Astyanax mexicanus: one gene and its partners. The protein of the gene in region 2 interacts with the protein of the main gene of each other region in a pairwise test. Links are inferred from orthologs where the notes say so. Each region holds a gene or a part of one and is shown on either strand. Other genes may lie near its edges.

Region 1 (7,965 bases), on a different chromosome or scaffold from region 2:
GCTGCTCTTAACTGCAATTATTTATGTTAATGTTTATTTAATAATGATTGAATATTGCTTTCACTATGCCTGCTTCACATTTCTCTTGCCTAAATTTTACTAGTAACTGGTATTACTACTGCATTTTTAAAGACATGATAATTAACAATTAGCCGAACTGAGATCAGTCCTTTTGTCCAGCTTCACAGAGGCTGTGAAGCTGGGAAATATTGTGATATTATTTTTGGGCAATATCGCCCACACCTACTTTGGATGGTTATTTTGCTAGACAGTAGACTACTGAAAGTTCTTTCTTCCATTAACTGTTTTTAACCTAAAATTATGATGTTATCTTCAATCTGCTTTAGTCAGTGCTGCTGCTACTGCCTGTATAATGCAACCAGGAACAGGAATTTCAAGTTCTAACGCTGACACAGACTTTCACTGATGCAAGACATACTTGGCAACCCCACAAAAGCTACATGAGCCGTAAGATGAGCTAAATGTTGACTCAGCACTTGTTACTTAACTGTACTTATATATCCACTTCGAACTCAAAACATGACTACAGTATTTTAGTTACACTTTAGTTACACATCGCTTATATAGCTTTGGAACAAATTGAGCGTGAGACCAATTAATTTTCTAAATCGGTTTCTCTGATTTTGTTATTTATTGGTATATATAACCTTTCTCCCAAATTCCAAATACAAATATTGCCATTTAGAGCATTTTTTTCAGTTTTCAGACCTCAAATAATGCAAAAAAAATAATGCAATAAAGTTTATATTCATAAAGTTCTAAGAGTTCAGAAATCAATATTTGGTGGAATAACCCTGTTTTTTAATCACAGTTTTTGTTCATGTATCTTGGCATCATGTTCTCCTCCACCAGTCTTACACACTGCTTTTGGATAACTTTATGACACTCATGGTGCAAAAATTCTTGGTTGGATGGCATCCATCTTCCTTTTGATTATATTCCAGATGTTTTCAATTTGGTAAAATCAAAGAAAATCGTTTTTAAGTTGCCTCTTATTTTTGTCTAATGCTGTATATAAATCTTATATTAATTATATACTGACAGACAGACTAAAGGGCAGGGATTAAGCCAAGTCATAGACTAAATTTTCTTTTCAATGGAAAATATCCATTTAAATATATCCATCCATGACTAGGCTTAATCCCTGTCTGGGAAACTGAATCACTCTTCTGTCCAATCACAGCTTCATATCCTCTCCCAGCACCTGACTACTCCATTCGCTAGGACCGCACCAGGCACCTGACTCGTGCACTGCTCACCTTAACCTCAGCTGAACCTGTGCAGGAAAGCTAAGGAAAGGTGTGGAAACCCCTGATCAAAGCTCTCCAGCCTCTCACAAACACCTGATAAGCTACAGAAAGCTCCACCTGCTGGTAGGATAATCCACAGGAGCCCTGAGAGAAAACCAAACTCAGATCAGGACAGGTTACTTCTTCACACCTTTTTAATTAATACCACTCAGAGACAAAATTTAAAACACCTTTTTAAAATAAGAACACTGATATTAAAGCAGAAGTCCATGTTATTTAGTTTCTAAACTGAAAGCAGAAGCATTTCTGAGTGGAGAAGAATGTGGATAAAATATTGCGTTTAATTGTACCATTGTGCTGGAGCAAACATCCCTGCTAAGCCTAATAATATATTCAGTCTAAAAACTGGGGTGTCGGGTTGCTTTTTACAGTTCTTCTGGCCACGTCACGCGTCTTTACGTACTTATGTCACACGTACAGCCTCTAAAAGAGGATCCGGCTCAGTTTTACGCTTTTACAGCTGAAAGCGAGTGACTGGTGGAGCAGTGGAGACTTCAGAAGAGGAAACTCAGAGCTCAGTAGTTTATTTACTCATGGTAAAACCAAAGAAACGAAGGAGTGAAATTTCTCACTGAGCGCTTTCTTTCTCTCTCTCTCTCTCTCTCTCTCTCTCTCTCTCTCTCTCTCTCACTCTCTTACTAAACATAACCTGGAATCGGATTCATCTGCTCTGGACCGCATCACACCCACCAAGTTTAAAATGATTCTTACACATGCTCTGTGCAATAACCTATTCTCATCAGAGTGAGGCCTAAATCCCTAAAAAATAAACTTTTTAGCCATTTTTTAGATATACAGACAGACAAACCAGACAGACAATAAGACAGGTATATAGAAAGACAGACAGATAGATAAGACAAGTACATAGATAGACAGACAGGTTTTTAAATGAACAGACAGCTAGACAGATAAGATACAGACAGACAGATGACTGACCGACATACCGACAAGACAGAGAGACAGATACATAGACAGGGACATAGAAAGACAGACAGACACATAGATAGACAGGCAGACAAGACAGATGCATAGACAGGTACATAGATAGACACACAAGGCAGACAGAAAGGTAAATTGACTACTGTAAGTACAAGGAGTAATATTTAATACATTTTAAGAATCTGCTGCTACAAGTGCATTTCTTATGAATGCCAGTATATTGTGATATCTCTCGGTATATCGGTAAAACGGTAAAATGTTATAGGTAAAAAGGTTACAGGTAAATATCGTGATACAACTGATATCTGAATAAATCACCCAGCCCTGCTGTGGAGCGGTAGCTACACTCACAGCTCTTTAGCCCGATAGCACAGGCAGGCCCGGGCCCGCAGCGGGGTCCGTGGGTGAGTCGGTTCCGCTGGTGGAGCCGGGCAGGACCGGCGGGGCTCGGGGTTCGGTCCGGGCGGGTACGGAGGAGCGGCAGCTCCGTGTCGGTGAGGCGGAAAGGGATTAGCTGTGTTTAGCCGCTAAGCTAACAGGCTAGCTGCTGTTAGCCGAGCTGCTCTTCTGCTTCAGAAAGTCCCGCTGCAGCCCGCCACCCGGGTCCCCCCGAACCGGCACCCGAACCGAGCCGAGCCGGCCGGCTATTGCTGCTCCCTGCCCCCGGCTCCCCCCCGGACCCGCGCTGTTTCCCCGCGGACTCTCCCTCACTCTGCTGCTGAAGTAAATACTCACCTGAGCCCGCCATCTTGAATTCTCTCAATCTGAAGTCGGATCAGAAGATTTCAGACGCGCAGCGGAGCGCTCTGATTGGCCCGGTTGCTGCAGATCTTCGCTCGGATTGGTCTCTTTTTAAAGCACGCGTCCCGGATTGGTGAAACGTGTTCCACACTGTGGAAGGAACGCCTACTCCTTGTGATCTGTTTGGTCTGTTTTTAGAAAACGCTACCCTGATTGGCTACACGATGAAAGGAACGCCCACCTGTTGAGATGTAATTGGTTTGTTGTTGAGAAATAGCGTCTCTCATTGGTCAAAAGAGTTTTACAGATCAAAGGATCGGTCAAATCCACAAAACTCTTACTGCTTACTTTACTTATAGACAGACAGACAGACAGACAGATAGATAGATAGATAGATAGATAGATAGACAGGAGTGTGCATACGTAAAAAAATAAAAATATATATTAAGAATTTGCAAGAAATAAAAAATATACTGCTGATGCACAATTATAATATGTGTGAGTAATAAGTGTTATCTATAGACTATGCAAGAGGAGTTGTAAAGATGTAAATGATATAAGATGTATATATGATATTAGATAGTAATATTAAATATAAAAATAAATAGATACATAAATAAAGAGTGTAATTTAAATTCAGATTTTAAACCACTATTTAATAAGATAGTTTAAAGGCAGTGTGTGCAGTAAGTGTGTAATTACAGTGTAGTTAGAACACTAGAGGGCAGCTCAGGCCCTCAGTATGTTGAGCTACAGGCTAAATGCACTGTTTGACCTCTGCAGTGCAGTGAGATACTGCTGAAGTGTTGTTTTAATCTGTCACTTGTTTCTTCAGCTGCTGTAAATTTTCTCTACAGGCCAAATAAAAGCATCCACCAGGTCTAGTCTATGGCCCAGTCCCATTTCTCCTTTATACCCCTGCCTCTTACTTTCAAGTGTCAAAATCCCACAAATTAAAACTTCTAATCACTTAATTTATTTGGTCTAATTTAAGTTCTGTGAAATGTGTTTTGTATGTTCTACTGCCAACCCTAAAATTTAGGACCAACTTAAAAAAGGAGCTATAAAATGTTTTGGATTTACATACATATACATATATGCACTTCTTGTTAACAAAAAAAAAAACACATTTTGTTAACAACATAATTGAAGTTTATTATGAGAAAGTATCTCAAAATAATGAGACAGCATCTAAAAAAAACGACTTAGCGTCTCAAAATAATGAGATAGCATTTTATATTGAATAATGAGAAAACATACAGATTGGATTTTTATTTTATTTTATGTGAAGGGAATAGTAGGGTTATTTTTTCATTAAAAAATGTGTTGCTAACCACTTAATATCTGGACCTCACCACTTAGTATGTGGTGCTCACCACCCCATGTCCCTTCAGGGGCTGCTTAGTTCTATAAGCAGGCAATTGAGACGCACCCCTTCTGAATGTGTTGTAGGCGGAATAGCCGAGTGCCCTACAACATTTGTGCGCACTCCAGGGTGCGGGCGCGTATTGGAACGCGCCCCGTCGTGTCGTAAACCAGCGACCAGCACCAGGACCGGGACCGTGGAGCAACAAGCTCGCGGCGTGTTTGCGGTTCCGCGGCGGGGAGAAGATGCGCTGGGGCGGACAGCAGCAGGCCGCAGACCAGCTGGTCCGGGAGTTTCTGCGCACGGGGTCCTCCGCCAGGTCGGTGAGAGCGGGGGGCGGCCGGGGAGCGCGACCGGCGCAGGGTGAGGGAGCGGGGGCGGAGCCTGCTGCAACAGCCGGAGCTCAGTACTCACTGGTAGCATGGGCTAGGCTAACACAGCTAAGCTACCACAGGCTAACAGAGCTACAGACAGGCTAACAGAGCTAAATCTAGGCTAACAGTGCTACAGACAGGCTAACAGAGCTACATACAGGTTAAAACAGGTATAGCTAGGCTAACAGAGCTAAGCTAACAGTCTGCATTGGAGAATTACTGCTCAGTGCTTTAGTGTAGGAGCTCTGACGACCTACAACCAGCTCTAAAATCAGTTATACAGCTTTATTTACAGCCTGAGATCACTGACATGCAGGTAAACCATCAGAAGACTGGCAGAGCTTTAGTTATCTAAGTACAGCAGATGATTTAAAGGGTTTAAAGGTATTTATAGGTTATAGTCAATATCTGTGGCGTGTTATTGTTTACAGAAACAGCCTTATTCAGTCTAATTTAGCATTTATTATTATTAATCTTCATTCAGAAGGACAGGGTGAGTGGCATGGACCCTCAGTCCAGCACAGGTGGGTGTAAAAACCTTTATATTTACTAGCTAGGTATTAGTAATAGCTCTTATGCTGTTATTTACTAATAGTGCTTCTAGTTTTTCTAGTGATTTTAAATTAAACAGCTAGTTTGTGTTCAGAGAGATCTGTTTGTCACTGGTTTAGTATTCTGGTTAGTTTTAGTCCTTACTAGCTCCCTGACTATCTAATCTAGTATGCTTAAATATTCTTAAACTTTACATTCAGGATTTGTTCAGGATTTCTGATTATCATTGTCTATTGATGTTTCTCCATTTCCTCCAGTTCTGTCTAAGTAGAGGTTTTAAATTTCTAGCCACATCATTCAGTATGTAAACAGAGACTGAAACAGTCATTCAGTGTGCTTTAAATAGCTACCTGAATTGAACTTCTTTGCAGTGTTGGTGAAAGACACAGACATGCAATTGCAACTAGAGCGTCAATGAAGGATTATTTTGGTAGTCGACTAATCTGTTGATTATTTTTCCGATTGATCATATACTCAATGATTATATCTGACATGCTCTCCATGTCTGCTTCCTGTGCATACCTTTCTGTTTCCAGCTTTCTTTATCGCTAGCATCTCAACTAATAATTGTTTTTGTAGTCAACTAATCTTTCGATAATTATTTCGGTTAAAAAAAATAGTCAGCGATTATTTCTGCCATGCTTTCCATCTCTTCTTCCTCTGCATATGGCTCCTCTGTTTCTAGCTTTCTCTGTTGGTAGCGCGTCAGCTAGTAATTGTTCTGGTTGTCCACTAACCTGTCGATTAGTTTACCGATTATTCAGCGAGGATTTTTGCCATGCTCTCCATCGCTAGCTCATCAGGCAATACTTGTTCTGGTAGTTGACTAATTGTACGATAATATTTTTTCAGAATAGTCAGCGATTATTTCTGCCATGCGCTCCATCCCTAGCTCATTGGCCAATAATTGTTCTGGTTGTCGACTAATCTGTCAATTATTTTTCAGATTAGTCAAATAGTCAGTGATTATTTCTGCCACACACTCTGTCTGTGCTTTGTGTGCATACAGCTCCTGTTTCTAGCTTTCTCTATCGCTAGCAAGTCAACTAATAATTGTTCTGGTAGTCGACTAATCGTATGATTATTTTGTCCCGATTATTTACCATTTTTTTCTGCCATGCTCTCCATCCTTGCTGTCTGTGTGTATGGCTCACTAGGGCTGCTGCTAAAGATTATTTTATTTTATTATTTATTTTTACTGATTAATCAACCATTGTTTCATATACCATGCCATGCTCTTTATCTCTGCTTCCTGTGAAAATGGAGAAGGTATGTCTTTGCACATAGAAGCTGCAGAGTGAATTTTAGTAGATAGACTTTCTGCTTCTGTCAGAAACCTGTAAAGAACTCCTTTATAAATTACAGTGATTTACATATTTTACACTTCCTTAAAAAGTTAAATATAAGGAGTTTATGTTGGTGACGTTTTTTTTAAGTTTTAAAAAATGTGTTTATTGACGATGTTATGAACTGTGTCTGGTTATGTCGCAGGAATAAGATGATGAAGAACTGGGGTCTGATCGGCGGGATCGCCGCTGCCATGGCCGCCGGGGTTTACGTCCTGTGGGGTCCGATCACAGACAGGAAGAAGAAGAGGAAAGGTAAAGAACCCAGGCTGTGTTCCTGTGAAGCTTTTTAAAATTATTGTTACTGGAATCACTGACTGTTGGTTTGTGGCGTTTCCTGCAGGTACAGTTCCCGGGCTGCTGAATCTGGGAAACACTTGCTTTATGAACTCGCTGCTTCAGGGTCTGGCGGCCTGCCCGTCCTTCGTCAGGTGGCTGGAGGACTTCGAGAGCCAGAGCAGCATCAGTCTAGCCAGGCCTGAGACGGACACTCGGCTGTCTGTAACTCTGCTGCAGCTGCTTAAAGGTACAGCGCGTCCGAGTCTGTTTCTGACTTTACTGTGTTTCTAGCAGCAATAGCACTCGAAACTCAAATTCAACTAAATAGATTTTTGTCCCAAATCAGGTTTTGTTAAGTCTAAACAGCTGATCGGAGATCAGAATGTGTTGCATCTCCAATTGTTTTTAAAACCCGATCCGGATGGGTTTAGTTTCTTGGGGGGACATCTGTGAAAAAGAGTGTAATTATGGTGCGTGGCAGTGGACAAAAAGCTGTTTTATTAAACTTGAAGTGACGAAACACAGAAGGACCACAGATTTCAGAGAAAAACAGTAAATGATTCAGCCTGTAATTTTCTCAGAGGACGTCGGAGAAAACACGTACATGGTTGTTCTGGATGGGAATAAAATCACAGAGGATAAAAAACCCACATAAAAAAGAAAAATTACCCCAGAAACCCCTGAGAAACTAATCCAGTCCGAATAGGGCTTAAATGAGTGTTGAATAATCTCATCTCTGATCTCAGACCTGTTTAAAAAAAAAAGATGCAAAGCACTGAGTAAAAGGAGTAAAAACCTCTTAAGAATAATTACTACAGTAAAGTATAGATAGCCAGCATTTCTACTTATAAAATAATGTAAAATAATGAAATATTTGTACTTAGTTACTCAACACCTTTTATTCTGAGGCTTATAGTAAGTTTGTAAAATTATATTTAAAAAATTAAAAGGAAGAAAAAGATTAAGTTATGTGGGATGAAGTTAATCCGCATTTGCTGATTTCTCTTGGTTTCTCTGCGCAGCTCTGTCCAGTCATG
Region 2 (7,983 bases):
CATCGGCAGCCATATACTCCCATAGGCTCTCAGTGCGACCCCCTCATCCCTTCTTAACTCTTAGCTATCTATTGATGTGGTCATATTGTATGTACCCATGTTTAATAAATAAATAAATAAATAAGCATTAAAGTGTATTCCTGGAATACTCAAAAGATTGTACTATACTTTCAACTTTACCAAGGTACCTGAAGTGGTTACAGCTGTTATAGCATTTATGGTTTATTATTGGAGCCTTGATATACACACATGTATGTATATTGGTATGTATCTAAGTTTGTCTACCCCAACTTACATTCCCACAAACAAATGTTGCCATTTTTAAGTTCAAGGGAGCAATGTACAAGCAGAGAAGTGTCTTATTATAATAAAGTATACAGAGAGAAAAGTTAAATAAAATCTTTTGTTTTAATGGACCTGTGTGAGTGGTCTCTCTTATTTTTTGAATGTATACAAAATGGGCCTCACCAGTAAACAACTGACAACATTTAAGGGAAACTACAAATCTTTCTGTAGTCATTTTTAAATTATTGGCATGTTACAGCTCTTAGCCCAAATGTTAACAAAAATGTGTATGTTTGTAAACAATTAACCAAATTACTTTTTAATATTGCTGGTCTAGATTTAAAAAAAAAATCATAAAATACCTTGAAATAGCATGCAGACATTCATTTTCCACATATACTATGTATTTCTTAGTCCATTTGATCCAAACAATTTGTCATTTTTCTGTGATGTCACAAAAACTACTTTGGCTAGTAATTTTCCTGTTTGTTTTACAGCAGTTCAGTTAGAGGAATGTGTTAGCACTGGCCACAGTAGTATGTATATAATAGATTACAACTAAAACCCAACCTTCCTCCGGGTTCTCCGGTTTCCTCCCACAGTCCAAAGACGGCACGTTCAGGCTAATTGTAACTTGATTGAAATTGCCCCTTAGGTGTGAGTGTGAGTAAATGTGTCTGTCTGTCTGTCTGTGTCTGTCTGCCCTGCGATGTATTGGCGGCCTGTCCAGGGTGTACCCTGCCTTCTGCCCGATGCCTGCTGGGATAGGCTCCAGCCCCCCCCCCCCCTGCGACCCTTCACGGATAAAGCGGTTGACAATGAGATGAGATGAGATAAAACCCAACCAAGACTCAAAAAGAGAAACTTGCGAGGAATAACAAAGACACACAAAAAAGAAACACCATAACATGAAATTCTGAGGGAAATCTAAACTGAAAGAGAAAATCTCCACAGTAGCGTGAGAAAGAACCACTGAGCATAGCTGAAAATGTCAAAGTTTACACAACCAAGACTCAAATAAAAAAAACTGCATCGCAACATGAGTAATACCTGCTTAGGAGAGTCTATTCTCCTTTGGGTTGCACCTATAACTGCAATTAGGACACAAACACATAAAAGATACTTAAGCAGAAGCCAGAAAGCAATATGTGGTCTATTAGGGGACTGTCAAAAGTCAGAGACTGTATAAGACAAATGAGATTTCAGCTATGAGTGTAAAATAACATCAAAAATGCTAACAGTTTAGACAGTGGCTAAGTCCAATACAAATCATATTAGCACTTTAAAAGTAGTGTAATGAAAAGGCACCAAAGCAAAGGTCTTTATCATACAGGCTTAAAGAGGCTTCCAAGTAATCAATAAGCTTCCCATACTCTGCTACTGTCAACTATGTTAAAGATACTGTAAAAAAAACCTCCAACAAACAGCTGAGAGTCCCCATCTCCCTTTGGCCTTTTTACAGGGCTTCTTGACCCAGATTTCTTAATGCTGAAGTTTAAGACATGATCATGAAAAATGTTTTCTGGAAGACAGGATGTGTCTGTATAGTACATTTATACTATATAAATGTTAAACAATCTTTATTACAAAAAAAAAACTTAATTATGATAAAGCAGAACCCAAGGTGACGTCAGTCAAATACCCTTTAAAATCTGTGTAAATTGCCTAACGCCACTCTGTTCTTCACTTTGAGTTCCTAACTGACATCTACTGAACATCCTGAATGCATCACAGGACAGTGTGTAAATGTGTGTTTGTTCATCTGTTCTTATTTACAATATGTAGGTCTAGGTTTGTGCTGGAGATAAGCTAGCTCTATTAAAAAGTGTATTTTAGCTTTATAGCTCTGTTCCTATGATTTAACCGTTTAAAGGCTTGAATTTTTTATGTTCCATGTAACTAGTTCAGATTTTTAGAACAAAATGTTAATAAAATGTGTGAGTTAGCTGTTGTCTCATTTATATTACATCATGATTTTTACTTGAAAACAGTGATTCTCAAACTTCATAAAGTTATCCAAAAGCAGTGTTTAAGACTGGTGGAGGAGAACATGTCAAGATGCATGAAACTGCGATTAAAAACAAGGGCTATTACACCAAATAATGATTTCTGAATCATTCTACCACCTAGAAGCCATTCCACAGAAAAACATGTACCACACACACAGTAAGCTACACATGTAATCCAAACATATATATATATATATATATATATATATATATATATATATATACAGTTGTGGTCAAAAGTTTACATACACTTGTAAAAAAACATAATGTTATGGCTGTCTTGAGTTTTCAATAAGTTCTACAACTCTTATTTTTCTGTGATAGAGTGATCGGAACACATACATGTTTGTCACAAAAAACAGTCATAAAATTTGGTTCTTTCATAAATTTATTATGGGTCTGCTGAAAATGTCACCAAATCTGCTGGGTCAAAAATATACATACAGCAACAAAATTTGTCAATTTTGGTGATGTAGCGAGTTGTGTCAATCAAATTAGCTTCATGTCATGGCCTCTTCACTTCTTGTAAGTGATTCTGATTGACTACAGCTGTTGACTTCTCATGAGCCCATTTAAATAGGGCTCATTTGACCCAGTGATTAGACTCAGCTACAAAAGCTACAATGGGAAAGTCAAAGGAACTCAGTGTGGATCTGAAAAAGCGAATTATTGACTTGAACAAGTCAGGGAAGTCACTTGGAGCCATTTCAAAGCAGCTACAGGTCCCAAGAGCAACTGTGCAGACAATTATACGCAAGTATAAAGTGCATGGAACAGTTGTGTCACTGCCACGATCAGGAAGAAAACGCAAGCTATCACATGCTGCCGAGAGGAGATTGGTCAGGATGGTCAAGAGTCAACCAAGAATCACCAAGAAGCAGGTCTGCAAGGATTTGGAAGCTGATGGAACACAGGTGTCAGTCTCCACAGTCAAGCGTGTTTTACATCGCCATGGACTGAGAGGCTGCCGTGCAAGAAAGAAGCCCTTGCTCCAGAAAAGGCACCTTAAGACTCGGCTGAAGTTTGCTGCTGATCACATGGACAAAGATAAAACCTTCTGGAGGAAAGTTCTCTGGTCAGACGAAACAAAAATTGAGCTGTTTGGCCACAACACCCAGCAATATGTTTGGAGGAGAAAAGGTGAGGCCTTTAATCCCAGGAACACCATGCCTACTGTCAAGCATGGTGGTGGTAGTATTATGCTCTGGGGATGTTTTGCTGCCAGTGGAACTGGTTCTTTGCAGAAAGTAAATGGGATAATGAAGAAGGAGGATTACCTCCAAATTCTGCAGAAAAACTTAAAACCATCAGCCCGAAGGTTGGGTCTTGGGCGCAGTTGGGTGTTCCAACAAGACAATGACCCAAAACACACATCAAAAGTGGTAAAGGAATGGCTAAACCAGGCTAGAATTAAGGTTTTAGAATGGCCTTCCCAAAGTCCTGACTTAAACCCCATTGAGAACATGTGGACAGTGCTAAAGAAACGGGTTCATGCAAGAAAACCATCACATTTAGCTGAACTGCACCAATTCTGTCAAGAAGAGTGGTCAAACATTCGACCTGAAGCTTGCCAGGAGCTTGTGGATGGCTACCAAAAGCGCCTAGTTGCCGTGAAAATGGCCAAGGGACATGTAACCAAATACTAATGTTGCTGTATGTATATTTTTGACCCAGCAGATTTGGTGACATTTTCAGCAGACCCATAATAAATTTATGAAAGAACCAAATTTTATGACTGTTTTTTGTGACAAACATGTATGTGTTCCGATCACTCTATCACAGAAAAATAAGAGTTGTAGAACTTATTGAAAACTCAAGACAGCCATAACATTATGTTTTTTTACAAGTGTATGTAAACTTTTGACCACAACTGTATATATATATATATATATGCAAATATCTTTGCCAATTGTTCTTTACCTGTTGTGTGGTGCTTGCCCATGTTTGCAATCAGTAAGTTAGTAAGGTAAGTTATTTGGTTATTGTTGTTGTTGTTTTTGGCAAGGCAAGCAAAGAATGAAATCTAAAGGCTTATTTTAGTTTATTGCGTCTTATTTAGAACACTTTATCAAATTCATTTTATGGTTTTATCATTGTGTTGTGAAGTAAAAAGGTCAATATCAATAATGAAAGTAACACTGTTAAAAGGCTTCAAAATTTAATGGACATTATAAATTTAAATATTATATTATATAAAATTATATAATGTATTAAATATGATAACATTTAGAATTGTACTGAATTAGATTTTATATTCGAATACTGGTTCTTGTTTTGTGTGGATTAAAAAACAACATTCTTATAATTACTTGGAAATAATGCAAGGGTTAATGCACGTAGATTTTTTTTTTCATCTAATGTCATCTAATTAGTGTACCACCTTGTGATGTTTCGAGTACCATCAGTAGTACCTGTACCACAGTTTGAGAACCACTGCCTAAAATATTTAGTCATGTTCCCACAATAAAAGACAAACCTGAATAAGCTGCTCGCTGAATTTATCTGATTACATTATGAAATTGATATCAATATTTAGAAATGAGTCTGGGTTAATATTGTTAATAAATGTAATGTAAAATAAAAACTATTAAAATAGCATTTAATGCGTTTTTAAATGAAAGTCTTCATATGGAGGTGAATTTATTGGGGAAAAAACTACACTTCCCATAAGCACAAGCGCCTGGTTCGTCATGACGTTGCTAAAGACGAAACACGCCAATCAGCGCTCCGCTTCTGCAGCAGCTTTTAGCCTGAATCCGGGAGGTAATACACAAATACGAGTTTTATATTCGGTAATTTTGGCAGATATACTGTTTTTAATGTGTTACTGAGCGGGTTGGGCGCGGGCTGTTTGTGTTCGCTAGCTGTGGGTGTAAATGTTAAGGTGTTTGTCGGTACAGCGAGGAATCCGCGGCTCCGGGTTTATGCGGCCTGGCTGATTTGAGCTGCGCCATGTTGGAGTCCTTTAGCTGAGGGGCTAAAACGGGTTTTTAGGATTCTTGTAGAAAGACTTTATTTCTCCGTGTTTTAACGGGTCAGTATGTGTCGGTACTCGGCACTCGGTCAGTGTATTTGACGCCGCGGTGGCCAGAGGCTCGTCTGGTAGATTTAAACCCACAGTAAATACGGGAGGCTAGCGGCCTAGCAGCCTCGGGCTGGATTTGGGCTTTTTAGCTCGGCTAGCTTAGTTTAGCTCATGTTAGCCTATGTTGGATTAGCTAGCTGTTTTAAATATCTATATATTTAATTAGCTAAGCTGGGGTCAATAACCCGAGAGCTAAATTGTTTGTGTACTTAGCTAGTTAGTTAATCCTATTCTAGCATTAAAATCAGTATCTTGTAAATTGTGAGGGTATCTTGTGTATGCTATCCTATCCTGTCCTAGCCTAGGTTATACCTCAGTGTTCTCCTCTCAGAGCCAAGCTAACACTAGTCTACCGGTGTTCTGTCGATTTTAGCAAGCTTGTCACACTATGCTACCCTAGTGTATATTTAAAGGTAAAATACAAAACATTAGAACGTGCTCGCAGTGGAGGTCTCGGTATGATATTTGAATCAGTATAAAGTTAAGGCAATATAGGTGATTTTTTTTATTATTATTATATATTTTATCATTATTTTTACACTGTTGTAACACTCAAGCAAACGATGGCAGTAAGTCCATATTGTACAGTGCAATCGAAAAATTAATTACGAAAAACACATGATAACAGTAAAAATGAGAGTTAAGCGCATGCGCAGAACTGCTAAGAAGCACAAATCGACGGGTAACACAACTCGACAAAACACCGGCTCTGAGCTCTTCTTACCTTCTGTTTTGTTTTACCTTCTTTTGTCTAGTTTCCCCAAAATGAGCAGTTCGGAGGAAGTTTCGTGGATTTCTTGGTTTTGTGGTCTACGAGGAAACGAGTTCTTCTGTGAGGTTCGTGCTTTTCATGTGAAACCTTTACACATCAATAGTGGTAAAATATGGCAAACCCTTTCAGCCTAACCGAAAGCCCAGACCTTTTTCTGAATATTGATGCCAAGCTTCAACTTGAACTATTATTGAGGGCAAATGATTTCAAACCTTTATATTTTAACAGTTTGTTCAGGTCGAAACTAGTTATATGGTATGTAAAACATTTAATCACAACATTTGAACGGTTAAATGGCAGAAACAGATCTATATAAGCAAAAAACAGACTTTGTAAAGGATCTCCAGAGCTAGCCCAGCACTTCTACGTTTTGTAAATGAGGTAAGATGAACGAGGACAGATTTACACAAACTGTCCTGTGATGCTCTCAGGATGTTTAGTATGTGTTACTTGGTGACTTTGAGTTAGAATGACCGAAAAAGTGCTATAAGGAACTTCACACATCTTTTAAAGGGTTTGTGACTGATGTCACCAGCGGTACTTGCTTAGTTTTTACATATTAAGCTTTGTAATGCAGTTTTTACTCTTGGAATCTTTCATTGCAGTGATCAGCTTTGGAATTATTACTTCTGGCTATCTATGCTACCAGACCATTTCCATATTGTTATTTTATTTTGTGAATAAATTCTGGTTTTGATTAGTGATGGTGTATATATCTGGAGGTTTTGATACTTAGAATTGCACTTTACAAATCTAGAATTACAATCTCTACTAGTAAGTAAAACTAGATGTCGGTAACTTGTTTTACCAAGTAACAGTGTTACTATAGATAAGAAAGGAGGAGTCTTGACTAGTCAAAATTTACATTAATGATATGTGCTCCTTGTAATACATCAAAACCATGTTACATGGCTGATATCCAAAATAATTTTGCTGTTACATTACATAGATCTTGACTGAGTTAAGATCTAAATTAGGTCTTATTTCATTGGTGTGATGTTAGGCTAAAATGGCTTGCTATATTAATGTGTTCACCAATTGTACTTAATAATAAATGTTTATCTTGTAAATGTTCTTAACATGTTCAAACTCATGCTTACTGTGTTACCCAGGTGGATGAGGACTATATCCAGGATAAGTTTAACCTCACTGGACTCAATGAGCAGGTTCCACATTACAGACAAGCTCTGGACATGATTTTGGATCTGGAACCTGGTTAGTATGGCAGTTCAGCATGTTCTTAAAATGAGCTAATGTTAAATCAAACTACTATGTTCAACAGGTACCCATCATTATCAATGCAGGAGAGCCAATGTAATAGCATGGATTGTTACATTGTTTTGCCCAGAGCAAAGATACTCCACGTCCAAAATAAGGATGTGCAATATGACCAAAAATTCATATCCCCACAAAGGCCTTTTCAAATTCCAAAAACAGTATAGTATATCACAGTGTGACATTTTTCTTTCTTTGTTTTCCATAAAATAACCACAGCCTGCTGCCTTGCACAGAAAACTTCTCTACTTTATAACACCCTGCTGCTGCGAAAGGTCTTTTTAGTTGAGTAGTTGATCAGTAGCTGGGGGAACTGGATAATCAAGATTGAGAAACAGTGTTATATGAAGCGGAAGGTAATGCAGGGAATCTAAATTGATCTTAATACTGTTACTCTACTCACTGAAAAAGGTGTTTGTTAATTAGGTTGGCCACAATAAACCCAGTGTTTGCCGGTTACAAATTGTTATCCGGGTCTCCTGTTTAAAGAATAAATTTCTGCAGTTTGATCACTTCTGTCATATTAAGTCACCCAAGCAACAAAAAGGCTGCTGTAT
Region 3 (7,715 bases), on a different chromosome or scaffold from region 2:
GATTCCAGCCGTGCAATGAATTCTGCACATTTTTTCTGCATAAAAACAAAATTAGGGCGATTATGTCTCTGGGACTCGGTGCAGCCCAACCATCACAATAAGTGAGAAAACATATATGATTATTATTATCTCACATTTTTAGAAAGCAGTGCTGCCAATCATTTGGTTTTATGAAGTTGGGGTCAGAGAAGGGGTGGGCAAATTATATTGAATCCTAAAGAAAAAGGTGCTTTACAATATCTGACCCAACTTGGAGGACTAAAAGTCAAAAACAAAACAAAAAAATATGACCAAAATGAGCCAGATTATTTCGATTAGGGGTTCTAAATGTTGGTCTGACTCATTTTCAAGGCCAGAGTACATGTTTTGGAAAGCATTTGACATTTTATTGCAGCTATTGTGACATCATATCATTAATCAGCCCAATAAAATGTGATTGTTTAACCCATATCTCCTTTGTGTATATATTTAAGTTTGGTCTTAAATATCAGTGTGAAAACTACAAACAGGAACCAAACGTAAAACAAGGTAATGTTTGAATATCACCTTTTATCCAGACCAAGTGATCCAAACGACCTGAATAAAATCAAACTGACTGAAGGACACACACAAACTAGGGTTGATTACATTACTCAAATCGCTGCAGGTCAGTGTAAACAGCAACAACCACAGATGCTGAGTCATAACTGCAGGTCAGCATGTTGGTCATGAATACACAGGAGCTAAAATATTAGTCAACTGCTGCCATCTGTGGCCTGCTGTAACTGTGTGCACCTCTCAACTGACTGTCTGCTTTACTTACCAACACAGTCCTCTTGTTTATTTTCTGCCTGGCACCTCAGACACGCATCTACAAGACAGAAAGACAGACAGACAGGTTTCATTAATATTACACAAGTATTAATAACTATTTTATAAAAACATTTATATCGCTACCCAGCAAAATGCTTCCAAACACATACCACACACACCTACAACAAGAATGACTATATGGTAAGAGGCTCAAGATAGAACTCCTCAGTATGTTCCCATAAGGCAATCATATTGTCCACGGCCACTTTATTAAATCCACCGCCTTGTTCCTTCACCTATTATCCATCCAATCAGCTCCACTTCGCTCTGTTCTACCAATGGTCAAGACCCTACAGAACCACCACAGAGTGGGTGGTGCGTCATTCTCAGCACTGCAGTCACACTGGTATGGTGATGCTGCATCTAGTGTTTAACGGGTCATTATTGCCTGCCACAGTTAACTGCAACCGAACCATAAAAAAACAAGTGTTTTACACTGCAAACTAATTAAACGATAATTTAGCTAATCCACACTGAGAGCAGGTCTTTTGGTTGGCCCAAAACCTGCTATTTTGGTTTGGACCAAACTGAATAGTCAAAGGTCTGCACCAAACATGAAAAGTGTGAAGGCAGCCTTTAACACTCCCAACATGTAGATGGAATAAAGTCAGAAAAAGATGCTTTGAATCTGTTGCTGCCCAGTTTGCAATTTGTGTTAGTGTCTGGTACAAGGGGTACGAGGGGGCCAGACACAGACATAGCAGTGCTGCTGGAGTTTTTAAACACGGTGCGAGTCGCACTGTCCTCTCTATTAGACACCCTAAACAACAGTTGCTCCTACACTTTGTAGATAAAGCAAAGTCAGAAACAGAAACCCTGAATCTGTTGCTGCCAAGTCTGTGCTGTTCATTCTCTAGTCCTACATCAGTGAGCACAGGACACTGCCCACAGGACACTGTTGTCTGGATATTTCATGTTGTTGGTGAACTATCTATTCTCAGTCCAGCAAAAACACTGATGTGTTTAAAAAGGTGTTGTACTCTCTGATATTCTTGTACCAGCACAACACACACCAGCACATCATACACCACCACTATGCCAGTCAGTGTCACTGCAGTGCTGAGATGCTCTGTGGTGGTCCTGACCATTGAATAACAGATTGAATAGATTTCTACATAAAAAGGTTTCATATTCGATAAGGAACATTACTGAAACGCATAATTGTAACAGAAAATATATTTTAAAAAACGTTAATCTGCTAATGTCAAAATATAATGAAAAAAAAAAATCATAAAATTAGCTCTTTCCTGAATTCATTTTAAAATCAATATTTTTCTGAAACCTTTAGTTTTGTTATGTTTGTCTAGTTTTACGTCTATTTTCAAACATACAGAGTCTGGGTTGATTCCTGTTACTGAACTGAAATTATTAAGTGGAGTAGAGAGTGAACAGGCAGCTTCTCCAAGTGACCTGTAGATTTTAAAGCCCTTAAATTTACAGAATGTAAATAAGTAATTTTAATGCAGACAAAAAAGGGTTTGTATCACCTAATGTTACACCTGTAGCCCGTATACGAGACAAGGCCTGTAAACGGATTAATAAACTATCCAGCTTTCAGATACAGACTGCTCTTAACTGTTTAGCTATTTAGCTAGCTAGCTAATATTCTCTGTGAGATAGGATCTTTTGGCAACAGCAGATAGCTGCACATAATCCGCCCACATAAATATAGCTACAGCTAGCTCATCCAGCTCCATCATACCAGAGTCGAAAGGGCTGCCAGCTGGCGGATTCAGCAGGTTAGCATTAATACCGATGTCAGGTGCTGAGCTGGATTAGGTAACGTTGGCTGAGCTCGGGGGGTTGTTCAGTTATTTGGTTAGTTAGCTCTTTAGCTGGTTAGCTGGCTAATTAGCTGGTTAGCCGAGCAGCTAGCCGCCCCACAGCAGCACCTACCCATGACCTGGACCCGGCAGATGGCGCAGGTATCGCACTCCACGTCCCAACTCCACATGGCCACCGCATTCCACTTCTTTAGAGAGAACATCTTGTCCCCAGCTGATCTGGAGCTGGACCCAGAGCCGGACCCGGAGGAGCCGCTGATCGAGTGCACCAAAACCGGCTCGTCTCCGTCATCCATCTCCGCCATGGCAGAAAAGGGCAGCTACAAAATGGCCGACTCCAGCAGAGCGTCCGGCCGCCCCGCTAACGCTAACACTGACCCAGGATCAGCGGCTCAGACCCAGCCCGGCCTGACCAGCACTGCCGCAGAGCACCGGGGCTGATCCCGGATCAGCGAGCAGCGATAAATTACCACAGTGATCCACAGCTAAAGGGGGAAAACAGAGAGAACTACAGCGAGGGGCTGAAATAAACAATTAATGTAGTAATTAACCCCTAACAGCCCAAACACACCTCTCAGCGTTAATTAAATATATAAACATATAAAATTTAGTTTTATTTGTAAGGTAAAAAAAAAAAAACACCAGTGCTTGCACATAAGTCCTAACAAAAGTGATCTAACTGCATAATGTTGCTCTGAGGCAACAACTAAAACACGGTTTTAATAAGTAGTTATAAGAAATTATAATTCAACGAATTAATAAAATAAAATAAAAACAAAACTGAAATATAAGAAAAACATTTAAGAAAAACATTAAATTGGTATCTCATAATGATGATTTACTATATCAAAATAATGATAGTATCTCAAAATAATAAATTAGTATTTCAAAAATTGACTTACTATGTTAAAATAATGAGAGTACCTCAAAATAATGAGATAGTATCTCAAAATAATAAAATAGTAACTCAAAATAATAAGATAGTATTTAAAAAAATTAATAATAATAATTAGTATCTTAAACCAATGAAATATCAGTTTACTTAATAAGAAGAAAAAAATGTAAATATATATATATATATATATATATATATATATATATATATATATATATATATATATATATATATATATATATTATATTATATTTATTTTACGTGAAAATATATTTATATATATTTATTTAATATATTTATTTATGTGAAAATATAAAGAGTAGAAGTAAAAAGATGAGGAAGATGGATGATCACAAGGCATCAAACCAAGCTGAACTCCTTGAATTTCTGCAGCTGGAGTGGCATGAAGTTATCCAAAAGCAGTGTGTAAGACTGGTGAAGGAAAACAAGCCAAGATGTACGGAGCCCGGGAGGGGCCGTGGATAAAAAAAATAATAAAATCGAGTGAACGATGTAGCAGTTCGTGCTCACGTTTTCTTTAATTCGAGTGAACGATTTGCAATTCGTGCTCACGATTTCTTTAATTCGTGCTCACGATTTCTGTAATTCGTGCGCACGATTTCTGTAATTCGAGTGAACGATTTCTGTAAATCGTGCTCACGTTTTTATGCGCAATAAGACAAGAAGCTCGGAGGGAAAGGAGCATTTTCTCTCTTGATCTGTTACAGGGGTGCAGTAATGATAATCAGTTATCTACCTTTATAACCTGCTGTTATTAATGCACTAGTGTTACAGTTAGATGTACAGTACAGTGAGCAGATTTTGCCTGGTGGTGGAATCTCTACAGCGCGTGGGGGAGAGCCGTCCGCGGCATCGGTTCCCCAAGCCGCCAGACACCTGCCGCGCGCGCAGGTCTTCACGGAGCTTATTTACCAACAATGTAGACAAATACAGTCAATTCCAGTCATGAATAAAGGAAACAAACATTTTACTGATGCAGGACAACTGTGTGTTATTAAAACCAGATCAAAACAAAGTTATAATGCAATGTGCAAATGTGTTTATTAATTTCTAAATAACATTCAGCCAGCCTCCAAGGAAATGCACACCTTCTTAAATCTGGTTACATCATTATTACTTTTATGATAGATTTAATCTATATTTTAATAATTTGTATAATAAATAAACACATAATTCAGAAAATATACATTTAAGAAGTTTATAATTATTATATTTTTTTTATTTGAAGCTTGTGGCATGTTTCTGGGCAGGACACTGATTTGAGAATAAGCAGATATTCAGGACATTTCATCAGATATAGAAACTTAATTATTTTAGGAAACATATTGGAATAAATTATCAAATTGATCCAAATTATTATATGAAATGCCTATTTACTAAATATCTTAATACATTGTATTAATAGTATTTTAGACCAGCTATTTTGATTTTATATAGTGTTACATATTTAAAGCAGCTCTTATATGAGCCATTCATAGACAACTGTCACACCTTGCATTAATTTTGTATTATCTTTATTAACTTTTACAGTGTACATTTGGACCTAAGTCTTATAGCTGTATATTTATATAATTATACTTCTTTACGTTATACTATTGTTGAAAATAAGAAATTATAAACAGTTCCACATTGCATTATAACTTTGTTTTGATCTGGTTTTAATAACACACAGTTATCCTGCATTAGTAATGTTTGTTTCCTTTAATCATGACTGGAATTGACTGTATTTGTCTACATTGTTGGTAAATAAGCTCCGTGAAGACCTGCGCGCGCGGCAGGTGTCTGGCGGCGGGGGAACCGATGCCGCGGACGGCTCTCCCCCACGCGCTGTAGAGATTCCACCACCAGGCAAAATCTGCTCACTGTACTGTACATCTAACTGTAACACTAGTGCATTAATAACAGCAGGTTATAAAGGTAGATAACTGATTATCATTACTGCACCCCTGTAACAGATCAAGAGAGAAAATGCTCCTTTCCCTCCGAGCTTCTTGTCTTATTGCGCATAAAAACGTGAGCACGAATTACAGAAATCGTTCACTCGAATTACAGAAATCGTGCGCACGAATTACAGAAATCGTGAGCACGAATTAAAGAAATCGTGAGCACGAATTGCAAATCGTTCACTCGAATTAAAGAAAACGTGAGCACGAACTGCTACATCGTTCACTCGATTTAATTGTTTTTTTTATCCACGGCCCCTCCCGGGCTCCGTAAAGATGCATGAAAACTGTGAATAAAAATCAGGGTTATTCCACCAAATACTAATTTCTGAACTTTTATTTGGAATTTGGGAGAAATGTTGTCCGTTGTTTATAGAATAAAACAACAATGTTAATTTTACTCAAACATAAACCTATAAATCCTATGAATAGCAAAATCCAAGAAAATGGTTTAGTAACTGAAGTGGTCTCTTATTAAAAAAAACTGAATTTCGAGATCGTCGTCAAAATGCCAACGTTTTTTCAATGTCAGCTCCACGTTGGTTTGTAGGTTGTGCCCAAACTAGGGTTCAAGTCGCTACCCAGTGTAAGGTGTAGCGTTCTGTACACACCTATCCACATCTACCCAAACAAATGCGCGCACCAGTTTTGGAGCACGACTGGACCGTGGCTGCTGTGTGTGTGTGTGTGTGTGTGTGTGTTTGTGTTCTGTGCCCTATGTGTCTGTCTGTGGGTTTTTGTTTGTTTCCCGTGAACGCGCGAGCGCACGCACAATTGCCATGTTCCAGCCATGCTCCAATATTCGTGTGTGAGAATTTGGGCTGTTTGGTAATAAGCTAAAGACCAACGTGGAGCTGACGTTGGTAAAACGTTGGCATTTTGACGCCGATCTCCGCTCCTTTATCCAGCTCCTTTATCCAGCGTTCTAAAAAATACTGCCAACAACAGACCAACGTTGGTCTGACTTCGAATTTCGACGTGCGACATAGACAACATTTGGCAGCATACTGTTGCTATCTGGGCCCGGGGGGCGGGGTGGGGGAGTTTCAGCAGCGCCTCCATCGGGTTGGCTGTGCTCTGCTCCGGCGCTCAGAGCTGCTGGAGGAGCGGACCCGACTCAGTCATGAAAACAGCGGCTTTAATAACAGCGACCGCCTGCCTGGCGGTTCTTTACTGCGTCTGCGCTTCTCCTATTTTAACTGAGGAAGGTAGGAGTCCAGTTATCAACTTTAAATCAAGAGAGAGGCCAGTTTAACAACATACAGACTTTAGTTTCGTTTCTGCTTTTGTTTTCTTCTCTTCTACAGACCCTGCTAAAAATACAGCTCAAGAACCAGACAAAACACATATACCATATAGTTAACCTAACGAGCTAGTCTAACAGCATAGTATTTATATATTTATATTTTCTAGATGACAGCTGGTCTGAGCTGGATATTTAACAAGAGAGTCAGGTCCAGTGAAAAACTTTTATTATTTAATGCAGTGTAACGTTGTATAATAAACATGCAGTCTCTGTTTGTCCTGCAGATGAGTTTGCCTTCAAAACCTGGATGTCTGAGGTAAAAAAAAAATCCCTCTCAGTTTTCTGTTACAGAACTTATTAAGTGACACTGTTACTGTAACATGAGCTAAACAAGGAAATTGGGAATTACCCACAAATTCATAATACAGAAAGAGTGAGCTTAATATTTGAATGAGTGTACTTTCAGTAAAGTGTCTGTAATGTTTAAATCCTGTTCACAGCACAATAAAAAATACAGCCCGGATGAGTACTACCAGAGGCTGCAGATTTTCACTGAAAACAAGAGAAGGATCGACCATCACAATGCAGGAAGCCACACATTCAGAAGTACGATCACCTGACCTTTTCCTTACAGTTTTTTTCCAGTTGCTAAAACACAATTTTGTAAACTAGGCTGTTTTTTTTACAAAATACATAACACAATTCACAAAACCAAAGCACAACCAAACTGCAAAATACCTTATATATCATTCAAAATATACTAAATAACGCACTGCAACCAAAACAAAAAATAGGCTTATCAAAATCAAACTTCTACACCAAAAAGCTTCACACACTTTATGCCTATTATCATATCATTCTGTTTAGCCAACTATACACTGATGGGCATAATGATAAAAAACATTCATTTTCAGTAAGCTTTGCCATAAAACTAAAATAGCTTAAATTTTTGAAACTTCTTCGGACTCTTTACA
Region 4 (7,929 bases), on a different chromosome or scaffold from region 2:
CAGAAAATATTAAATTATCGCAATAGCAACAAAGCCAGTGTTGGAGTTGATTCACTGGTGATCTCTACACTAGGGGTGTCCAAACCAAACTTGGGGCCCAGGTTGAACCATAAGAAAAAAGTAAGGACCAGTCTGCCTTTCTAAAAATATTATTCATAAATTATTAAAAACACTGTATTTAAAATATTAAAAAGCAAAACAATTAACATTTTTTTAAACACTGAATTTTATTTTTGAACCTTAAGATGAATTACATGACCTTTGGAACTCCACAACAAAGCAAGTATTTCTTAAATTAATACAAAGTTGTCCAGTCAGTCAGTTGTGCAGTCCAGTCAGAGAAATGAATGGCTCTTAAATATTTTACATTTTACGCAAGGTGCTCATAAAATCCTTCAATTTTCCTAAAAATTACTAGTGCACCTTTTAATCTGGTGCGCTTTATGTATGAATTCTACCAGTCAGGTATTAAGGAGCAGTAAAGCCACTTCGCTGAAAAACAGAGTTATACAGGAGTTTAATTTTAGTTCTCCACCAGTATTAGCCGTTAACAGAGGTGAGTATTATCGGCCTGTAGCCTGCTGCTAACCCTGGCTAGCCCTGCTGGAGCAGCATAAGCATTAGCCGCTACCCGTGCTAAGCACTAGCCACTTTGCCGTTTAGAGGTGAGCATTAACCACCTGCAGCCTGATGCTAACCCAAGCTAGCACTGCTGGAGAACCGCTAGCTAATATTGCCCTTACCGCAACACTTAGGGTTCCTTAATTTTGCTCTGTCGACTAACTTTTGAATAGCAGTGATGCAACATCCTACACATGAATGTTCTACTGCTACTGTCAGGTGATTAACCTCCCTGAAATCAACTTTTGCAGCTTCGGATGTCTGAGTATTCAAATCAATAAAATGATAAGGGTGCCCATACTTTTGCACGGTCAAATTTTGGTTTAATGCATATTGCACATTTTCTGTTCAGTGCAATAAACCTTATTTCAATTCTGAACTATTACTGTGTCCATCAGTTATTAGATATATCAAACTGAAATGGCTGTTACAAACACCCAAATATTTACAACTAAAAATGATTATGATTAATATGGGGTCCCAAACTTTTTCATATGACTGTATGACAAATTTAGCACCTGTAAAAGTTGGTTGTTGAGTGAGGTTTCATAATCATATATACAGCTCATTCATGTTTACTTGTTCTTAATTGTGGGAATATGACTGTAAATATATTGGGGTTAAAATACTGGGTCTATGACAGGGTATGTTAACTCTTGGGTTAAATATTAGTTTACATGTGAAGATTGCTGTCAGACAGTAGTTACTAAGCTGTGTGTTGAAACCCCACTTACTAAATAGTAGTGTTTTAAATGAAAGTGTGTATTCGATACTACCTACAATTTTATTTAAATCAATCACATCACATCACCTTGGCTTGTTTACAGTAGCACGATCAGGCACTGACAAGTGACATAACAGTGAGGTTCTATTTGTGTTAAGAGCCAAGCTGAAGGTATTCTGTGGTCAAGGATGTTCTGCAGTCAGCCTAATTTTACCTCATATCCTCTTGCTTTTTTTTTTTTAATGTTTATGTTGTGCGTTGGGCTGATTTACCATCTTTAAAGATAGATAATGCTAACGCTAGCATCACGATAATGTGCTAGTACACAAAGTGATGTACTTCCACAGCACAGATCACAGGAATAAAGCCTTAAAAATAGCTTTGTGATGTTATGCATAGCAAACACACATGACCGTCAACAGCCAATACATCACAATATAACAGGCTTGTTCTGCTTCACCTGGCGCTGGGCAGACCGCTGGGCGGCACACCGGTTCGTTTTTCTGTCTGGCTTGATTCTGTGCATCAATACATATAATCTTTTATAATGACAATCACTGTTGTTTTTCACAAACTGAACAACTTTAGTTTACATTGGCTAAAATTATTCCCTCACACACAAATGACACTAGTTTTTTTTTTTTTTTGCATTCTAAAATAGAACAATTTCTGTCATATTTTCTAAAGACCCTAAACGGATGTTAATAATTCATGAAATCTAGCAGGAGAAAACTTTGCTTTCATATTTAATTTATTTTATTTATTATTGTCTGTAATGATTTTTTTTAAAGCACTCTGAATTCAATAGATTAACTGTTTTGTTTTTTAAACACTATTTTAGCACTTTATTTTTTTTTATCTGCCTAATTTGTAATCTCTGTATTAAAAATGCTCAGAAATGTTGAATACTTTAGTACTTTCACTTAAGTGTGGTGATCAAAAAACACTTTAACTTCTACTTAAGTCACTTTTTTGATCGAGCACTTTTACTCAAGCCTGGGTTTTCTCAAAGTTCAAAAAACCCTTTCCAGATAAATCTCTCCATCCAGATAGAGTGAATCTGATTGTGGTTGGGTGAGAAGTATAATCATATATCATTCAGACTCAAGACAACTCCAGACAAACTCCAGAACAACTAAGCTTCTTTAATATATTTATATTGTACTAAAATACATTCATTTACAATGTAAATGTAAACTAACTATAAATTTCCCTGTCCAGATATTTTTCTTCCTCTCTTCTTTCTCTTTCTCTCATGTGGGGAATTCTGTTTGTTAATAAAATGTAAGCATGTTTAAAACTGAATGCATATTGCGTGCTAGCAACATGAATTGTGTGAATAGTATAGTCCACAACAGATGTTGGGTTAAATGTATATAAAATTTTGAAAAGGTAAGTGCAGATTGGATTAAAGCAATTAAGCGACTGGAAAAAAATTGTGAACTAAAGTAAAACAGCTCACTGTGTCACTGTGTTAGTGTGTTTAACGTTACAGTAAACCGTTTCTCCCTCCGGCTCCAGTAACAGGTCGGACACTGCGACACGGGCTGGGCTAGCCCCGCTACTCCCACAGCTAACTGCCTTTACCAGTTAGCTTAGCGGGCTAACGGCTACAGTTGCACTAGCCTGAGAGCTACAGGGTGAATATTAGCCTGCTCTCCCAGTTAAATATCACAAAATATGCGAGTTTAAACCAGTACACTTTAAACACACTCAAAATGCAGGGAAAACTCACCTGTTTCACGGTTAAAAAGCCCTTATTTCCGTCGCTCTACCTCCTAATCCAACTTTGACAACATACTTGACATTGTACGGCAAGCGCAACATCCAAAAAACCCAGAAGGCGGCGAGTAACGCGTTTTACACTTAACCATTTGAGACCCTGCGTGCACTACACTGGACTTTTATGAGATTTGTTGTCAATAAGAATATACAGCCCTCAAATTATTGGCATCCCTAGTTAAAATGTGTAAAAAGCCTTAAAATAAATGTATTTTTTACATGGAGTTGGCTAAGCGGTACTGGGATTATAACTGGGACCGTGTGTTTTGTCGGATGAGACCAAGATTAAAAGTATACTTATTATTAATTATTTTTATTTTACCGTTGATGGTTTTAAAACAAAAAGGTTAAAGAAAGAAAAGGTTGAACATGTGATTCCAATGCCATGAACATTAAAAAAGCAGTTATGTATTTTAGTTCATTAGATAATTTTTTTCTATATATTAAATATCAAAACATTAGAGTCATCTGTTGAAAACATCTCTCTCATATGTTTTTAGCACTGGAACATAATTCAGGTCTTAAAGGGTTAATGCTGAAATACATACAATTGACTGCACACTGTCTATGGCATGAATTTTATTTTGGGGGGGGGGGGATATTTTTGGGAGCTTTGGGGTTTTGTTTACATTTTTTATTTAAGTTTATTTTGAAGCATTGTGATGCTTTTTTAAGTATGAATGGTGTTACATAAATAAAGTTGCCACCACTCCACTCAATGCCGCAGAAACCACCTGAGACACGAAACCAACTACATAAAAATACCACCAGTTGCCCCATTGTGACCCTGTTTTCACTTCTCATTCAGAAAAAGTTGTTGTTTGTCAGTCTGTCAGGTCAGACACTCAATTGTGATTACACTGTGTACAATCTGCAGATAAGATAACCAGGATGAAACAATCAAATTTACAGGAAAGTAATGTAGACAAGATAACCAGATTTACCTTATTTGTGTTGGACAAAGATGGAACAGTGGCCACCAATTGTACAGTGAACATTACAGTGCACATAATTGTGTAAATACAGGGCACAGCTAAGCTGCTGACAAGGGAGCTGTCTCTGACTCTAAAATAGTCATTGAATGAATTCAGTTTTGTAGGTAAAGATAAGTGTTCAACAACCTGTTAAAAATACATTATTTTTATTATTATTATTATAAATTATATATATATATATTATATATATGTTTTACTCTACATTCTTTAACATTATACAGAAACATAGTTTTCAGTGACTCACTCACTTTTCATGAATAAAACGTACACGTTTTATATACATGAAATTAGATGTTTATTATAAAAGTTATAAAGACAAGGACATTTACAGCAATATATATAGGTCATATATAAATAGATATATTTTATACAGGTTGTGTGTGTGTAAGAGACATTATGAGTAGGTGTGTGTGCTGGTCTCTGTAATGTGTGTAGCATGCATGTCTCTCGTCATGTTGTTCTTTTCTTTTAGCTTGGCCTGCAGCAGCGTGTGTTCCACCACTCCCATTCTCACATCCATCTGCTGGATCTCCTGCTTCAGCTTCGTCAGGCTCTGACGGATCTTCACCACCGGGGCTGAAAACAAACAAAACATCAGTGCCACCTCAATCAAACATCCCAGCAATGAAGCACAGAAGTGAGAGCCCCGTAGTAGACTATTCCTTTACACAGAAGATGTTTATTATCAGCTTCTCCTTATTTATCACCCACAACGCCAGAGACGATCTTTTTACATTTTATGTTTATTTCACAAGTCATATAAATTTCTATGGTATAGTTTTATTTTTTAATTACAATTGTTAATGAAAACAATACTGCATGGTGCGCTGTGTAGCACTGAAGAATTGAACAATGTTGTGATTCATTGAGCGTCTGCACCCACTGCTGCAGGATGTTCGTGCCACTGTGTATCACCATAAACAGTAAATAAAACAATAAAACAATGTTTTAAATTTTTAAAGGGCTTTTAAAAAAAATACTATTTGTAAGTATGTTTTTTGTATGTATATACAGTGCCTTGCATAAGTATTCGGCCCCCTAGAACTTTTCAACCCTTTGCCACATTTCAGGCTTCAAATATGAAGATATGAAATTGTAAAATTGAAATTTCATTGAAAATGAAATTTTTTGTGAAGAATCAACAACAAGTGGGACACAATCGTGAAGTGGAACAAAATTTATTGGACATTTTAAACTTTTTTTAGAAATAAAAAAACTGAAAAGTGGGGCGTGCAATATTATTCCGCCCCCTTGCATTAAAATACTTTGTAGCGCCACCTTTTGCTGTGATTACAGCTGCAAGTGGTTTGGGGTATGTCTCTGGGGTATGTATCAGTTTCGCACATCGAGAGACTGAAATTTTTGCCCATTTTTCTTCTTAAAACAGCTGGAGCTCAGTGAGGTTGAATGGAGAGCGTTGGTTTGTGAACAGCAGTTTTCAGCTCTTTTCACAGATTCTCGATTAGATTCAGGTCTGGACTTTGACTTGGCCATTTTAACAACGGGTTACTGTTCCATTGTAGATTTTGCTTTATGTTTTGGATCATTGTCTTGTTGGAAGATAAATCTCCTTCCCAGTCTCAGGTCTTCTGCAGACTCCAACAGGTTTTCTTCCAGAATGGTCCTGTATTCGGCTACATCCATCTTCCCATCAATTTTAACCATCTTCCCTGACCCTGCTGAAGAAAAGCAGGCCCAAACCATGATGCTGCCACCACCATGTTTGACAGTGGGGATGGTGTGTTCAGGTTGATGAGCTGTGTTACTTTTACATCAAACATAACGTTTTTTGCCTTGTGGCCAAAAAGTTCAATTTTGATTTCATCTGCCCAGAACACTTTCTTCCACATGTTTGGTGTGTCTCCCAGGTGGCTGGTGGCAAACTTTAAACTAGATTTTTTATGGATATCTGAACATGGCCTCTTGGCTGCATATCTGATCAGTCTTCTCCTTGTCTGAGCTGAAAGTTTAGAGCAGAGGTCACTATTGGGTGGACCGTGTTCTGGACCCAAACGTTGTCCATTGCGGAGAAACCTACTGAGAAGGATTTAATTGTATACACGCTTTGCGGCACAGTAAATCACAGACCAATCACGTGTGGGGTAAGATCACCAAACGCTCTCTTCAGTCAATCAGATCTGTGCAGACGCGGTAAGGAAAAAATAAATAAATAAACACACCGCTCCTCGCGCGGGATCAAACCCTTGTTGTCAGGGTTGCGGTCCCGCTGCTCCGGCTGTTGAATTGGGACGCGGCCGTAAAACCGCCTTTATGTGGAGATAGAGAGCCCGAGAATGGGCGGAAAAACGAGAACGGGCGTAAACTAAAGTCACGCCAAGCGCGACAGAGAGACAGACAGGGGAGGAATGTATACAAAATCTGGCCAGAGAGGCATTTTATTATTATTATTATTATTATTATTATTATTATTATTATTATTATATATTTTTTCATCATTCAGTTCAAACAACCTTAGAGGATATTTAACTTAATCATAACACAAGTTAACAATCGGTCCGGACCTTGGCCTGTCGAAATTTTCTCTAACTGGACCATACTGAATTCTAATTAAATACCCCTGGTTTAGAGGGAATGCTGGGTCTTGGTAGATTTGCAGTGGTCTGATACTCCTTCCATTTCAGTATGATCACTTGCACAGTGTTCCTTGAGAAGTTTAAAGCTTGGGAAATCTTTTTGTATCCAAATTCAGCTTTAAACTTCTCCACAACAGTATCTCGGACCTGCCTGGTGTGTTCCTTGGTCTTTATGATGCTCTCTGAACTCTGAGACTATCACAGAGCAGATGCATTTATACAGAGACTTGATTACACACAGGTGAATTCTATTTACAATAATCAGTCATTTAGGTCAACATTGGATTATTCAGAGATCCTCACTGAACATCTGGAGTGAGTTTTCTGCACTGAAATTAAAGGGGGCGAAAAATATTGCACGCCTCACTTTTTTTTAGTTTTTTATTTCTAAAAAAAGTTTAAAATATCCTTTTATATGTGTGTGTAGTTTTACCTCCATCTGACATGCTGCTACCCTTCTCCTCCATCTCCTGTTTGACTTTCTCCAGCTCTTCACTGATCTGAACACATAATACTTTGAATGATTCATTTTATTCAGTTATTATATAACAGTTATTATACTTTCACAGAGTATGAGTTTATTGCAGCTGTTTTGCCACCAAGAAGTGCATATACCATATTTTTTGCACTATAAGGTGCACCGGATTAAAAGGTGAATTACGAGATCATTACTAGTATCCTTCTAATTCAGCAGATCTCCCCGCAGGGTGGTAGTGGGGGTAACTAAGTTAAGTAAAGCTAAGCTAAGTAAACAAAACTGTAATTCTTAAAAAATATATATATTAAAATAAAATGAGCATTGGATGTTAATCTACACAGGTTTCTCTCCTGAAAACTGTTTATTTGGCAATAAGCGCTTCCGTTTATATATAGTAAGCCAGATTTCCACTAAGGATGTGTGCATCAGCATTAGCATTAGTGGCTAACCACTAGGGCTTGCCTCAGTTAGCGCTCGTAAATCCGGCTGACAGCGCTACACTGAGGAACACCGAGTGTTCTGGTAAGCCAGGGCAGTATTAGCTAGCGGTTCGTTCCATGTAGCTTGCTTTAACGTGTAAGCATGCAGGCTACAGTACTCACCTCTGAATGGTAAAAGAGCTAGTGCTTAGCGTGGTTAGCAGCTAATGCTAATGCTACTCCAGCTTTGGCGCTGGAGAGCTAAACTTAAACTCCTTTATAACGCTGTACTTTAGCAGAGTGACTTTACTGCTTC

Evidence for each region.
Region 1: the proteins of csnk2b (region 2) and araf interact in a two-hybrid assay, tested with the Homo sapiens proteins (2 studies listed by BioGRID and IntAct). The link is inferred for Astyanax mexicanus from reciprocal best matches to the Homo sapiens genes CSNK2B and ARAF.
Region 3: the proteins of csnk2b (region 2) and rnf7 interact in a two-hybrid assay, tested with the Homo sapiens proteins (2 studies listed by BioGRID). The link is inferred for Astyanax mexicanus from reciprocal best matches to the Homo sapiens genes CSNK2B and RNF7.
Region 4: the proteins of csnk2b (region 2) and prkab2 interact in a two-hybrid assay, tested with the Homo sapiens proteins (2 studies listed by BioGRID and IntAct). The link is inferred for Astyanax mexicanus from reciprocal best matches to the Homo sapiens genes CSNK2B and PRKAB2.

What each region holds. Positions count from the first base shown.
Region 1 is NC_064429.1:9,224,040-9,232,004, forward strand, and holds the start of araf (serine/threonine-protein kinase A-Raf), read right to left. Parts: upstream 3,086-7,965; 5' UTR 3,006-3,085; intron 2,865-3,005; exon of another isoform or gene 1,281-2,864; intron 1-1,280. Other genes in the region: usp30 (ubiquitin carboxyl-terminal hydrolase 30), read left to right, coding at 4,623-4,696, 6,795-6,904, 6,993-7,175, 7,951-7,965. UniProt on the Homo sapiens protein: Involved in the transduction of mitogenic signals from the cell membrane to the nucleus. May also regulate the TOR signaling cascade. Phosphorylates PFKFB2.
Region 2 is NC_064410.1:37,124,640-37,132,622, forward strand, and holds the start of csnk2b (casein kinase II subunit beta), read left to right. Parts: upstream 1-4,972; 5' UTR 4,973-5,057; exon of another isoform or gene 5,058-5,086; intron 5,087-6,134; 5' UTR 6,135-6,144; coding exon 6,145-6,216; intron 6,217-7,263; coding exon 7,264-7,366; intron 7,367-7,983. UniProt on the Homo sapiens protein: Regulatory subunit of casein kinase II/CK2.
Region 3 is NC_064416.1:32,163,549-32,171,263, forward strand, and holds the start of rnf7 (RING-box protein 2), read right to left. Parts: upstream 3,001-7,715; 5' UTR 2,942-3,000; coding exon 2,749-2,941; intron 851-2,748; coding exon 803-850; intron 1-802. Other genes in the region: pro-cathepsin H, read left to right, coding at 6,619-6,703, 7,026-7,057, 7,242-7,347. UniProt on the Homo sapiens protein: Catalytic component of multiple cullin-5-RING E3 ubiquitin-protein ligase complexes (ECS complexes), which mediate the ubiquitination and subsequent proteasomal degradation of target proteins.
Region 4 is NC_064411.1:27,924,385-27,932,313, forward strand, and holds the start of prkab2 (5'-AMP-activated protein kinase subunit beta-2), read right to left. Parts: upstream 3,189-7,929; 5' UTR 3,081-3,188; intron 1-3,080. Other genes in the region: ift57 (intraflagellar transport protein 57 homolog), read right to left, coding at 4,517-4,698, 7,150-7,216. UniProt on the Homo sapiens protein: Non-catalytic subunit of AMP-activated protein kinase (AMPK), an energy sensor protein kinase that plays a key role in regulating cellular energy metabolism.